Elephas maximus indicus: one gene and its partner. The protein of the gene in region 1 interacts with the protein of each later gene in a biochemical or structural test. Links are inferred from orthologs where the notes say so. Each region holds a gene or a part of one and is shown in the gene's direction. Other genes may lie near its edges. The genes, in order: SELP and CD24.

Evidence for each region.
Region 2: the proteins of SELP (region 1) and CD24 form a complex in vitro, tested with the Homo sapiens proteins (2 studies listed by BioGRID and IntAct). The link is inferred for Elephas maximus indicus from reciprocal best matches to the Homo sapiens genes SELP and CD24.

Annotation. Positions count from the first base shown.
Region 1 is NC_064821.1:214,369,204-214,377,391, forward strand, and holds the start of SELP (P-selectin), read left to right. Parts: upstream 1-5,059; 5' UTR 5,060-5,309; coding exon 5,310-5,312; intron 5,313-8,188. UniProt on the Homo sapiens protein: Ca(2+)-dependent receptor for myeloid cells that binds to carbohydrates on neutrophils and monocytes. Mediates the interaction of activated endothelial cells or platelets with leukocytes. The ligand recognized is sialyl-Lewis X.
Region 2 is NC_064821.1:71,461,346-71,466,235, reverse strand, and holds CD24 (signal transducer CD24), read left to right. Parts: upstream 1-4,199; coding exon 4,200-4,388; downstream 4,389-4,890.

The DNA of each region.
Region 1 (8,188 bases):
ATACAAGGAAAGTATTAACCCAAGAGACAAAAGAGCCACATAAACCAGAGACTTCATCAGCCTGAGACCAGATGAACCAGACGGCGCCTGGACTACTACCAATGACTGCCCTGACCGGGAACACAACAGAGAGTCTTTGACGGAGCAGGAGAAAAGCGTGGAGCAGAACTTAAATTCACGTAAAAAGGCCAGACTTAATGGTCTGACTGAGACTGGAGGAACCCCTGAAGCCATGACCCCTGGACTTTCTGTTAACCCCAAACTAAAACCATTCCTGAAGCCAACTCTTCAAAGATTAGACTGGACCATAAAAAGTAAAATAATGGAATACTATGCGTCGATAAAGAACAGTGAGGAATCTGTGAAACATTTCATAACGTGGAGGAACCTGGAAGGCATTATGCTGAGTGAAATTACTCAGTTGCAAAAGGACAAATATTGTATAAGACCACTATTATAAGAACTTGAGAAATAGTTTAAAGTGAGAAGAAAACATTCTTTTGTGGTTACGAGAGGGGGGAGGGAGGGAGGGTGGGACAGGGACATTCGCTAATTAGATAGTGGATAAGAACTACTTTAGGTGAAGGGAAAGACAGCACACAATACAGGGGAGGTCAGCACAACTGGACTAACCAAAACGCAAAGAAGTTTCCTGAGTAAACTGAATGCTTCGAAGGCCAGCGTAGCAGGGGCAGGGGTCTGGGGACCATGGTTTCAGGGGACATCTAAGTCAATTGGCATAATAAAATCTATTAAGAAAACATTCTGCATACCACTTTGAAGAGTGGCGTCTGGTGTCTTAAACGCTAGCAAGCAGCCATCTAAGATGCATCAGTTGGTCTCAACCCACCTGGATCAAGGAGAATGAAGAACACCAAGGACACAAGGCAATCACCAGCCCAAGAGACAGAAAGGGCCACATGAACCAGAGACTACATCATCCTGAGACCAGAAGAACTAGATGGTGTCCGGCTACAACCGATGACTGCCCTGACAGGGAACACAACAGAGAACCCCTAAGGGAGTGGGAGAGCAGTGGGATGCAGACCCCGAATTCTCATAAAAAGACCAGACTTAATGGTCTGACTGAGACTAGAAGGACCCCAGTGGTCATGGCCCCCAGACCTTCTCTTGGCCCAGGACAGGAGCCATTCCTGAAGCCAACTCTTCAGACATGGATTGGACTGGACAATGGGTTGGAGAGGGATGCTGGTGAGGAGTGAGCTTCTTGGATCAGGTGGACACTTGAGACTATGTTGGCATCTCCTGCCTGGAGGGGAGATGAGAGGGTGGAGGGGGTTAGTTGCTGGCGAAATGGACATGAAAAGAGAGTGGAGGGAGAGAGTGGGCTGTCTCATTAGGGGTAGAGTAATTGGGAGTGTGTAGCGAGGTGTAAATGGGTTTTTGTGTGAGAGACTGACTTGTAAACTTTCACTTAAAGCACAATAAAAATTATTAAAAAAAAAAGTAAAATAATACTCGTGAACAGTGTTGTGGATAAAAAAAATACATGAGACTAAATGGGCAGCTCCGGTCCGGAGGTGGGATGAGAAGACAGAAAGGGACAGGAACTGGTTGAATGGATATTGGAAACCCAGGATGAAAAGGGGGAGTGTGTTGTCACATTATAGGGAGAGCAACTAGGGTCACATAACAATGTATATATAAATTTTTGTAGGAGAAATTAACTTGAGCTGTAAACTTTCACCTAAAGCATAATTAAAAAAAAAAAAAAAACTGAATGTACAAGATGATTCCAATTCCATTAAAAACATTCCACAGAAAAACAAACTGTTAAGTAAGTACGCCAGGGTGCTAGTATTATGACTGATATTTTTTCCTTTATTGTGCTTTTTCTAAATTTTCTTTTTTTTACAGTGAACATGTATTATATTAACAACAAGGGAAAGCTATATGTTCATTTTTAAAGCTTATACTACAGCTCTATTCTCTGAGTAGAGGGACCAGCTGTGCAGGTAGAACTTTTCTGAGCAATTAGCCACCTGTGAGTAGACCCAAAAAGCCCTGGGTAGTGCAAAAGGTTAAGCACTGGACTACTAACTGAAAGCTGATGGCTTGAACACATCCAGGGGTGCTGTGGAAGAAAGGGTTGGCGGTATGCTTCCAAAAGGCCACAGCTTTGAAAACCCTCTGCTACATATGGGGTCACCATGAGTCAGAATCAACTTGATGGTAACTGGTTTGGTTTTTGGTTTCGAGTACACCCAGATGCCATATGGTACATATGCAGACCACGACCATGAGGCCTGGCCCGGTCCTGGCCATCCCTACCTCTCCAGCCTCCAATCCCTCCTGCCAGCCACTGTGGCTGTCTCTCCCGGCTGCGCCAAGCCTCAACTGGTCTAGAATGTTCTCTCTAAACAGCATAATAACTCTTACTCAGATTCAGATCTTAGCTCATTAGTCACTCCCTCAGAGGCGCTTTCCTCAGGTCAAGTTCCCATCATACCCTCTTCACTGTATCACATTTTTCCATACTGCAATTATTTGTGTTGTTTTTTATTTACTACCTGCTGCCCTCCTCTGGCACTGTGAGCTTCACAGCCGTGAGGACTGTGTCCTTTTCTGCTCACTTTTGAATCCCTAGTGCTGGCACACAGTCTGGAGCCTCCAGTTGCTTAAATATTTCTAGTATGTGTGATTGCACCCCTATGGTGAGATAGGCAGAGTCTGCCGAGGAGGAGGGAAGGACCACTTCACTGTGTCTAATCCAGAGTCACCAGTCAAGTGAATGCAAGTCACCCATGCAAGTCAGTATGTATCTACCTTCTGCTAGAAGAGATGCAAGGCCAATATAGGAATGGATTCCTTCCCTCAGGGAACTCAGGGTATAATATGGGGGGATGAGAAAAACACGCAACACAGCTAAGCCATACTACTAATTAAATTATATTTCAATTATATCATAACTTTAATGGCAACATAATTGTTGTTAGCTGCAGTCGAGTCTGCCCCCAACTGAGGGTGAACCCATGCCTGGTCAATGGAACTAAATGCTGCCTGGTCCTTTGCCATCCCCACAACCCATTGTAGACGACTGTTGTGACCCTTAGGGTTTTCACTGGCTGGTTTTCTGCAGTGGTTTCTCAGGCCTTTCTTCCTAGTCCGTCTTAATCTGGAAGCTCTCCTGAAACCTGTTCAGCATCATAGCAGGACGTAAACCTCCTCTGACAGGCGGTGGCTGCACGTGAGGTGCTTCGATTGACTGGGAACGGAACCTGGAATTCAACCATTGAACCGCCGCTGCCTCCTGGCAACATAATTAGAAACGACCTAAATTTTCTACGAAGGCGCCCTGGGGGTGCAAGGGTTAAGCGCTCGGTTGCTTACTGAAAGGTCCGTGGTTTGACCCACCGGTGGCTCTGTGGAGAGAAGACCTGGTGCTCTGCTCCCGTAAAGATTACCGCCTAGGAAGCCCTACGGGCAGTTCTGCTCTGTCAAATAGGGTTGCTACGAGTCAGAATTGACTCGAGGGCACACGACAACAACACTTTTCTACATAGGTTACATGCATAAGAACAGATGGTGTTCAGCCTGAACAGCTTTTAAACAGAGCCAAGTAGAGTTTTCCTCCCATTCCCATTCCCAGGAATCCTCTTTGCTCTCCACGAATCACTTAAATTTAATATCGTCAAACTTAAAGCACATTGTCAATAAGAACCTATCAGTCTACATAGTACCCTCCCCTGTCCATGAGAAGTTAAAAAAAAAAAAAAAAAAAAATGAGGCAATGCCAAAAAAAAGGGTGGCTGGAGAGTGAAAAGAACAGGAGGAGACAGAGGCAAGTCTTCTAAAAAGAACAGTAAGCCAACAGTGTGCCTGTTGCTGTTTTAGTAGCTTTACATGTAAAGTAGTCTCTGTGCATTGGGTTGACTATTATTATCCTTATCTATTATCATGGCTTAGCAAATTGAGTCAAGAGATTGAGTAACAGTCCAGGTCATGCAGTTGGTGGGCGGTAGAGACAGGCAGTCTGGCTCCAAGGGCTGGGCTCTGATCCACTGCATTTTGCTGCCTTGAAATTCTCCATTCTTTTCTCTCCTTCAGATTCCCTCATTCCCTGGTGAGTCATTCCTTCATCACCACCTCTTTCACCAGACTTTCTGTTTCTGTTATGTAACCCCTTTCTCTCAGCCCCAGATTCCTAAGTGTTTAAATGCTACCTCAAGCTCCTTAAATCACCTTTACCTGTAGGCTTCTTTTCCAGATTGTCCCATTTTATCCCATGTTTTATCTTTCCATGAGATGCCTGTGTACAAGCTGTAACAATCAGGACGGAATGAAGAACAACATCTACTAACACACAACCAGCGTCCGAGAGGGTAAATTAGAATTATGGTCTTCTGACCTGATACCAAATACCTGATACTTGGTTTTGCCATCTGAAAACCAATCTGAAAAGTCATAATAACAGCTACCATTTGTTGTATGCCAGGTATTGTTTCAAGCTCTTTACACACACGAACTCACTGAATCCTACGACAACCCCGTAAGGTAAATTCTGTTATTATTGTCCTATTTCACAGGTGAGAAAACAGAGGCACAGAGAGTCTAAGTAGTTTGCCTAATGGCTAGCCAGAGGTGGAACCAGGATGGATCTCAGGCAGTTTAACACCAAGGTCCAAGCCGTAAGCACTGCGTCACAGAGTCTCCATCCTACAGACTCCATGGGCAGAGAAATATAGCCCTTCCATTTTAAAATCATCTTTTTTTTTTCTGACATAAAGAGCAGAAATTTCTTTCCAATGATCTGTGCCTGTTTTATACATCTTTTCAAAACTCTTTCCAATAATGTCTCCCAAGTGCCAGGAAACCCTCAAGGGCTGCTTTCCCCTTAAAGGTTGCTGGAATAATAGCACTCGCTGAGATTTCAAAAGAACTGGAAAATTTACACTTAGAATATCATGATTAATACAAAGCATGTTTTCCAACTGTATACTCTCAAATTGTGGTGCAGATCTTAATCGAAGGAAACCTGATCCCTGGGGGTGTGGGGACTATTCCGACATTGCTCACCCTGGGGTGTCCAGGAGTGATTCACAATTACCCTGTTGCCAGACCATCCCCGTGGAAGTAGGCGACCCCTGCCCTCAGTGACTGCATTTCTGCATTCCAGCTTTGCTCCTGTGTTATCAACATTCTAACCTCCTGGGAGGGGCTGTGGTGAATTTCGGGAAGGTGGATAGGAAGCTGCTTTTTTAAACAGCCTGACACTGAGTGCAGGCAGTGAGGCCATAAGAAGCCTGGGTTGAGCAGAAGGCAGAAAGCGAGCAGAGTCCGCAGAGGAGATGGTAAGTTCATTCCTCTTTCATATGGGAAGTGGATGAGTTGGAGTGAGCTTGGGCCTGAATCAGGACGCTGAAGGTTAAAAAAGAGAGCAATAGCAAGAGCCATGGAGCTTTATGCTGAAGGGCCTTTTAGAGTGTACAAACAAGTACTTCAGCAGCTGCTGCCCCCTTTGACCCTCCCCTTAGCCTTGTGCAGTTGAGGTTGTTCCCATTTTACAGATGAAATGTGTGCCTCACAGTGTGCCTTGCAGAGCCTGCGTGGTTTACCCAAGGCTGGACACTGTCAGGATCTGGACTCCTGTCCTCTGGTAAATCTACAACCTCCTTCTCCAGGACTGCTCTCCTCTCTGGGTTGAATGCAAAGCTGAGCCAGTGCCCTGGGACAAGCCTGTGGTTGAAAGGTTCTTCAACCCCAGCCCTCCCGTTTCTTTCTCTGAGACCTAGGAGTCTGCTGGGACTGACCTGGAGTATATACATGGTTCCCACTTCTGTGATATGTCTCAATCCTGTTTGTGACTCAGTTCCCTCATCTATAAAATAGGTATAACAGTAGTGCTCTATTTCATAGTGTCATCGTAAAGAGTAAATAAGATTACGCTGGAAAGCATTTAGATATGAGCCTGACACATAGTAAGTGATGGATGAATGTTACCTATTATTGTTATGAGAAAGAAAATTTTGGGGGGTACAATGGGGCTGAGGATCCAGGGGAGACCCACGAAAGACTAGGCATTCTTGCACACAGTAATGATTTCCTAAATCAGACACACACGGTTAAGTCACTTTTTATTTTACCCCTGGTTTACTGGGAGAATCCCACACTGTTCCAGGGTCCAAAATCCTGCAGGCTCTGGCTAAGGAGGGGCCAGGCTGATCTCTGCCCTGGGCACCTGTCTATGAGATTCCAGAAGAAAGCAGCACTTACACCGATTCACCACACCTCTTCACTATCATACACTTTTCAAGTGCCCGAACTGAGGTGTCTGTGTTGGGGAAACGGGGATAAGAGGTTGGCGAAGAGAAGAGGAAGCACTTCAAGCTTGTCCTGAGTTTGAACCACAATGACATAAGAATGTGGACTAACTTTGTCTTATCTGCTGCTGTCTTACTTTTCCTGAATCGGACAACATACACGAATATGCAGTTATTTCTGTCTTCCTTATATCCTGTCTTTGGCACCCTCCTCTATTTCAGAGATATGTAAACATAGTGGATCACAGAGTCCTTTGAGATCCTGATAAAAGCTACAATTCCTCTTCCAAGACAAAAGTGCGAACACCTGCGTGAACCTCAGCCTTTCTCAACAATCGCAGGGTGTTCTGCGTGACTCCTGGGTTAAGAATCCACCCTGCAGCCCCCTATGCTTAATGCTCAGATGCTCCAAGGGGGAGGGGGCAGTAATAATAATAATAACTAATATAATAATAATAATGAATATTTATCGAGCCTTCACCACACGCCAGACACTGGGCCAAAGGCCTTAATTTTGTGACCTCATCAAATCCTCCAACAGTGAGGTAGGCACTCTACCATGAAGTGCAAGGACCCCAGCCCTGTGACGTTTTTCACAATCCAGAGACGAGGCTTCTTCCTTTGCCCCTGGGCACATTTGGCCCTTGGCATTCAGGAGTCTCAAAGTGTCTGTTCTGTTTCAGGTTCCGAAAGTGGCTCCAGTGAACCTGAAGGACCTCAGGAAACAAGGCTAAGGTTTAGCTGGCAAGTTGTTTTCAATCAGAAAGACCTCGGAAAGAGAGCTCTTGAGTGGAAGCTTAAATCATGCTGATGTTACTCAAAGTTTTTAGTGGGCTACAACCCACCAAGCTGTGGATTCTCTCCCATTATAGTTTTTCACCATCTTAGGTCTGTGACTTTTAACTCCTACTCTTCTTTCCATTACCAGTTTTCCAAAACGCGGCTAAGTGGTTCAGACTCTCTTGGGATGGCCACTGTTTCTTTTTTTTTTTTTTGGCCACTGGTTCTTAAAATGTGCAGCCTCAGAGTTGTGTAGGTGGAAGCTTAGTAACCAAATCCTCAAAAAAAAGGACTCAGAACAGAACAGGTGGAACTGAGAAAAGACTGTGGACCCAACACTAGAGAGTAGATAGACTGTAGTTTCCTAAATGGCATTTATTACATTGTCTTCTCAGTATCCAGCTCCTCTGATTGAAAAGCAGAACAGAAATTCTATAAAGTCACATAGCTAACCCTCGTATTAGGAGGGCTATAGCTTGGCTAGGGTCCAACAAGACATTTTTTATAGGCATACGACTTCATTTTTAATGCTTACATTTTGCCCTAAGTAACGATGGTCGGTAGTCTCAGTTGAATACGTGTCTATATTCTATGTCTTAATGTCCTGGGCTCCTTCCTGCCTTTATTTCTAACTTGCTATCAGGCAATCTCTTTTCTCACTGGGTTTCATTTTTCTACCTTTAAGCCAGACCTACTAATAGCTTGTCACACCATCACTCCTCTCCCCAGAATCTTAAGAGGAATAATCTTATATCAGTTATAATGCCTTGTAAAATCTGGGTTTTGTCACCAGCAAGTTGTGTAGTTTTGCCTCCTCAATGATTCTCATATCCACCTTCCCACTTTGCATTCCCATTGGCCCCAGTCCAAGCCAGGTCCCCTTTAACTCCCACTGGGTCTATTGCAGAGTCCCTCAGTGACACAAATGGCTAAGCATTCAATTACTAACCAAAAGGTGGGCAGTTTGAACCCACCCAGAGGCACCTTGGAAGAAAGACCTGGAGATATGCTTCCGAAAGGTCACAGCCTTGAAAACCCTATGTAGTGCAGTTCTACTCCGCAACACATGGAGTTGCCAGTCAGAATCAACTCAACTGCAATTAGTTTGGTTTGATTTTGGGAGTACT
Region 2 (4,890 bases), about 140 Mb from region 1:
AGGCCCCAGGGAGGCCTCTGGGCATTGGAGCTGGCAGATGGTGGCCCAGCTGACAACCAGATCACATTCAGCGGAGAGCAACCCTAGTGGATGGGACATCATATCAGAGCTGGGGAGATTCACTACCCAGGGCATCATTCATTCACCCCTCAGTTATGTCCTGATGGTGTTCGAGATCTACTAGCTGACTGGAACTGTGCCATATGGCCTGGGACCGGCGGGGGAAGCCGAAGGGAAACCACCGTTTATTGAACCTTGAATACTTGCTAGGCACCACAGCAGGGCTTTACACGAGCTATTTAACTAAATTAATTAATTGCTTTGTCAATGGACAGTTCACTTCTGGCAAGCCACTGCTCTTCTCTGGGCCTTAGTTTCCCCCTCTGTGAAGTGCAGATGGGCCTGGAGGACAGGTCTTTAAAGTATCTCCCATTCCAGTATTCCAAAGTCTAACAGACAAGTCAATAACCTCCCCGAGCCCAGTTTCCCCTTCTGTGAAATGGGGTGGTAATAACCCCTGCCTCAATGTGAGGATGCGGTGAGTACAGGGCATGTACCAGTGAGCACTGGGCTCGGTGCCCTCACAAGGGAGGAGCTACTGCTATGACAGGCAGGGGTGGGGGCAGACAGGGCATCTGTCCAGAGCTGCTGATTACGGTTCTCACTCCACCCACTGTCCCCCCAATGATACTTGCTGCCATTTCCTGGGAAATGGTGCTGAGCCATCTCCACTCTAAGCTTTCCAGCTGCTCCTGACCATATTTCATCCCCACACCTCACAGAGGGGCTGAGACAAAGGTTCTAAGAGATACATTTAAAATGCACTACCGTCCTGTCCTCTAGCTGTTTAAAGGTGTCAATGGCCCCCTGCTGTTCCTGAAGCAAAATCCCAGAACTTGAAGGGCTTTCAAGGCCCCTGCGGCCCAGCTCTTAACTCCATTCCTCCAGCCCCATCCACACTGATCCAGATGCCAAAACTGAGGCCTGGAGAGGTGACAAGACTCACCAAGGCTCCTGTAACTGGAGATGGCAGAGCCAGATTCAAACCCAGGCCTTCAGGGTCAGGCCCTGGGACTCACCAGCCTGCAAACGCTGTGCAGAAACCTCTGCCTCCTGGAGATATGGGCCCATTCAGGCAGCGTGTGACCATCAAACACAGACATGGAGAAAAAGCGTCTTTGCCAGCGGTTAAGACAGAAGTGCATTGGATGGGCCCATATCTCCAGGAGGCAGAGGTTTCCATCCCCCTCACCGGAAGACATTTGCTTCCTCCACCTCTGCCACTCCCTCCACATTGCTTTCCTCAAGGAAAGCCAAAAATAAGTACCAGCTGCCATTGAGTTGACTCTGACTCATGGCGACCTCATGTGTGTTAGAGTAGAACTATGCTCCTTAGGTTTTCAGTGGCTGATTTTTCAGAAGTAGATGGCCGGGCCTTTCTTCCGAGGTGCCTCTGGGTGGACGGGAATCTCTACACTTTTGGTTAGCAGCTGAGCATGTTAACTGTTTGCGCCACCCAGGGACTCAAAAAAAAAAAAAGTAAACAAAAAGAACTCCGTTGGTGTGTACACCATTCCCAAATGGCAAAGAGGAAGTCAGAAAATTCTTCAGACTGCCCCCTAAACATTTAGAAAAAGAGAGTGAGATTCCTGAAGAGGCAGGAAGCAGTGACATAGGAAAAGCAAAGAAAAAGTAGGATTTTATTTTCTGGGATATAAAGAAAATACTTACATCCTACAAAATAAAGGTCAAAGAGGATACTGAGTGACTTTAAAATTTCTCTTCAAGCTATATGAAAACCAAAAGTCTTTAAAACTTCTATTAAATTTTAGCAGTAGAGGGTCAGCAAAAAAGGGGAAGACCCTCGATGATACGGATTGACAACGGGGCTGCAACAATGGGCTCAAACATAACAAGGATTGTGAGGATGATGCAGGACCGGGCAGGGTTTCGTTCTGTTGTATGTAGGGTTGCTATGAGTTGGAACCGACTCGACGGCATCTAACAACATGACATTAAATTTCTTATTATAAGTCATTCCCTAAATTTCGAACATTAGTGAAGGTAGTATTTCCATCCATTCTAGTCATTCGAAAGGATAGGTTCCCATTCAGACTTTCAGTGCTCCATTATCAACCATGAACTTCCTGTCTTTATTCTTTAATTTCCACTGTCTACTGTCTATAGTCTTTTTTTATTAAACAATTGGAAATTTAAAAAAGTTATATGTGATAAGAGTTGTGGAAAATGAAACACTTATTTTTTAATTTTAATTTTTATTGTTATAAAAATAGATATAACATGCACCAATTCAACATTTCTTACGTGTACAATTTAGTGACACCAATTAATCATGTTGTGCAACCATCACTAATAATTGGTGCCAAATTTCTATCAGAAAACTTTTATAAACAGAAACTCATTGCTTCTTAACAATGACCTTCCTGAAACCGAAAAACCCATTGCCATCGAGTCAATTCTGACTCATAGCAACCCTATAGGACAGAGTAGAACTGCCCCATAGAGTTTCCAAGGAGCGCGCTTGGTGGATTTGAATGGCTGACCATTTGGTTTGTAGCCGTAGCACTTAACCACTACGCCACCAGGGTTTCCCTTCTGTCCCTGGTAACCACTAATATTCTCTGCCCATTTACCTATTCTAAATATTTCATGTAAGTGGGATCATACGCTATTTGTCCTTTTGTGACTGACTTCACTCAGCATAATGTTCTCAAGGCTCATCCATATGGTAGCATGTCAGGTCTATGGTTTTTTTTTTTTTTTTTTTAAAGCAATTTATGCCTTGGTTGGGCAGTGGATAAGGAAGACCGAAGAATTGATGCCTTTGAATTATGGTCACACCATAATTCTGGACTGCCAGAAGAACGAACAAATCTGTCTTGGAAGAAGTACAGCCAGAATGCTCCTTAGAAGCAAGGATGATGAGTCTTCTTCTCATATATTTTGGACATGTTGTCAGGAGGGATCAGTCCCTGGAGAAGAACATCATGCTTGGTGAAGTAGGGGGTCAGGGAAAAAGAGGAAGACATTCAATGAGATGGACTGACACAGTGGCTGCAACAATGGGCTCAAACATAGTAATGATTGTGAGGATGGTGCAGGACTGGGCAGTGTTTCGTTCTGTTTCACATAGGGTCGCTGTGAGTTGGAATCAACTCCATGGCACCTAACAGCAACTTGCCTTGGTTTGTTCTAGCTTGAATTCCACCAATCCCACATCTCAGAAATCAACCTGCTGGTTCAATCCCCAAAAGAAACATATAACCAGTGTAGAAAAGTTGGAAACACAGAAATCCCATCAGCCAGAAACAACGAAGACTAACACCATGGCGTATTTTTTGACTTCTCCATAAAATACGTAAACAAAACAAAACGCACTGCCATCCAGTTGATTCTGACTCACAGTGACCTTATAGGACAGAGTGGAACTGCCCCATGGAGTTTCCAAGGCTGTAATCTTTACAGAAGCAGACTGCCACATCTTTCTCCTGCAGAGCGGCTGGTGAGTTCGAACCGTCCACCTCTCAGTTAGCAGCCAAGCACTTTAACCACTACACCACCAGGGCTCCTATAAAATACATGGGAATACTTAAAATGAGACACAGAGTTTGATGTGCAACCTTTTAAACTAGTTGCTTCTTTTAAAAGATCTTAATTACAGTAAAATGCTCATGATAAATGATGTTAAGCTAAAGTCCTGGATACAAAGTACAATCTTCATTGTGTAAAAGACATGCATATAGTCCACATAAAAACATACCAATTGTAAATAATGATTATCTCCAGGTATAAAGCTCTTTTCATTCTCTGGGATACCAACTTTCTCCAACAACAAACACGTATTATTCATAAGAATCGGGGGAAAAAATAAGGCCATTTGAAAAAAGTCAACGGAAACCTTAGATTTCTAAGTAAGGGGGTCCAGGTTCTCTGAGCAAGTTTTAAATGTTTTCTTTGAAAATCAGTTGGGCGGACAAGCGGGCGGTTGCCGGTGGGCCAGTAGGCGGGCGTTCTGACGTCAGGGCGCTGTTACAGGGCTGGGACATTGTGACGCCGCTGGTACATAAGGCTCCGGCCCGCGGCCCTTCGCGCCAGCTCGCCTGTCCCTGCCTGGAGCCCGGTGGTCCTCCATCCCCTAGAGCAGCGAGCCCGACGCGTCGCGCACCGACAGAGTGGACATGGGCCGGGGAATGCTGGTCGCTCTGGGCCTGGCCCTGCTGATTCTGGCGCTGCTCCTTCCTACGCAGGTTTATTCACAGGAAACGACCTCAGCGACCACCACCACGGCTTCGGGTGCCATCGCTCTGCAGTCTACAGTAAGCGTCCTTGTGATCTCGCTCTCCCTTCTTCTCCATCTCTTCTTTTAACAGACCTAGGCCCCGAACCATCTTCACTTCTCCAGTCCATCTTCTAAAACCCAACCCAAATGGCTTCTAGAGGTCTGGCATGGCGAGGAAAAACAAAACACGTCTTCGTCAAATCTGCTGATTCCACTCCTTGTTTGATTGACTTTGAAGATATTGAGAACCCCAGACTTGACTGGTCTGAAGAGCACCTGAAGGCTTTGACTAGATGATGAATCCCAATATTAAATCTACTGGAACTTCGTGTGCAAGACTGGAGAGAGACACAACGTCCAAAGTTAGTTAAAGGATCAATTTCGTTAAACAAGGCTTAAGAAATAACAGACTTTTAAATCGACCTTGACGATGAGAAACGACCTCACTTTGATCTAAAACTGATGGGTTGTGGAGTGGAGATTTGGTTATCTTTGTGATTCATTGAATCTAGAAGGCCATAAAAATGATTGGGTGATGTAAAAATCTTCCTTGATTCTGTTTTTATGTAAGTTAAAAGGAGCCTCTAGGT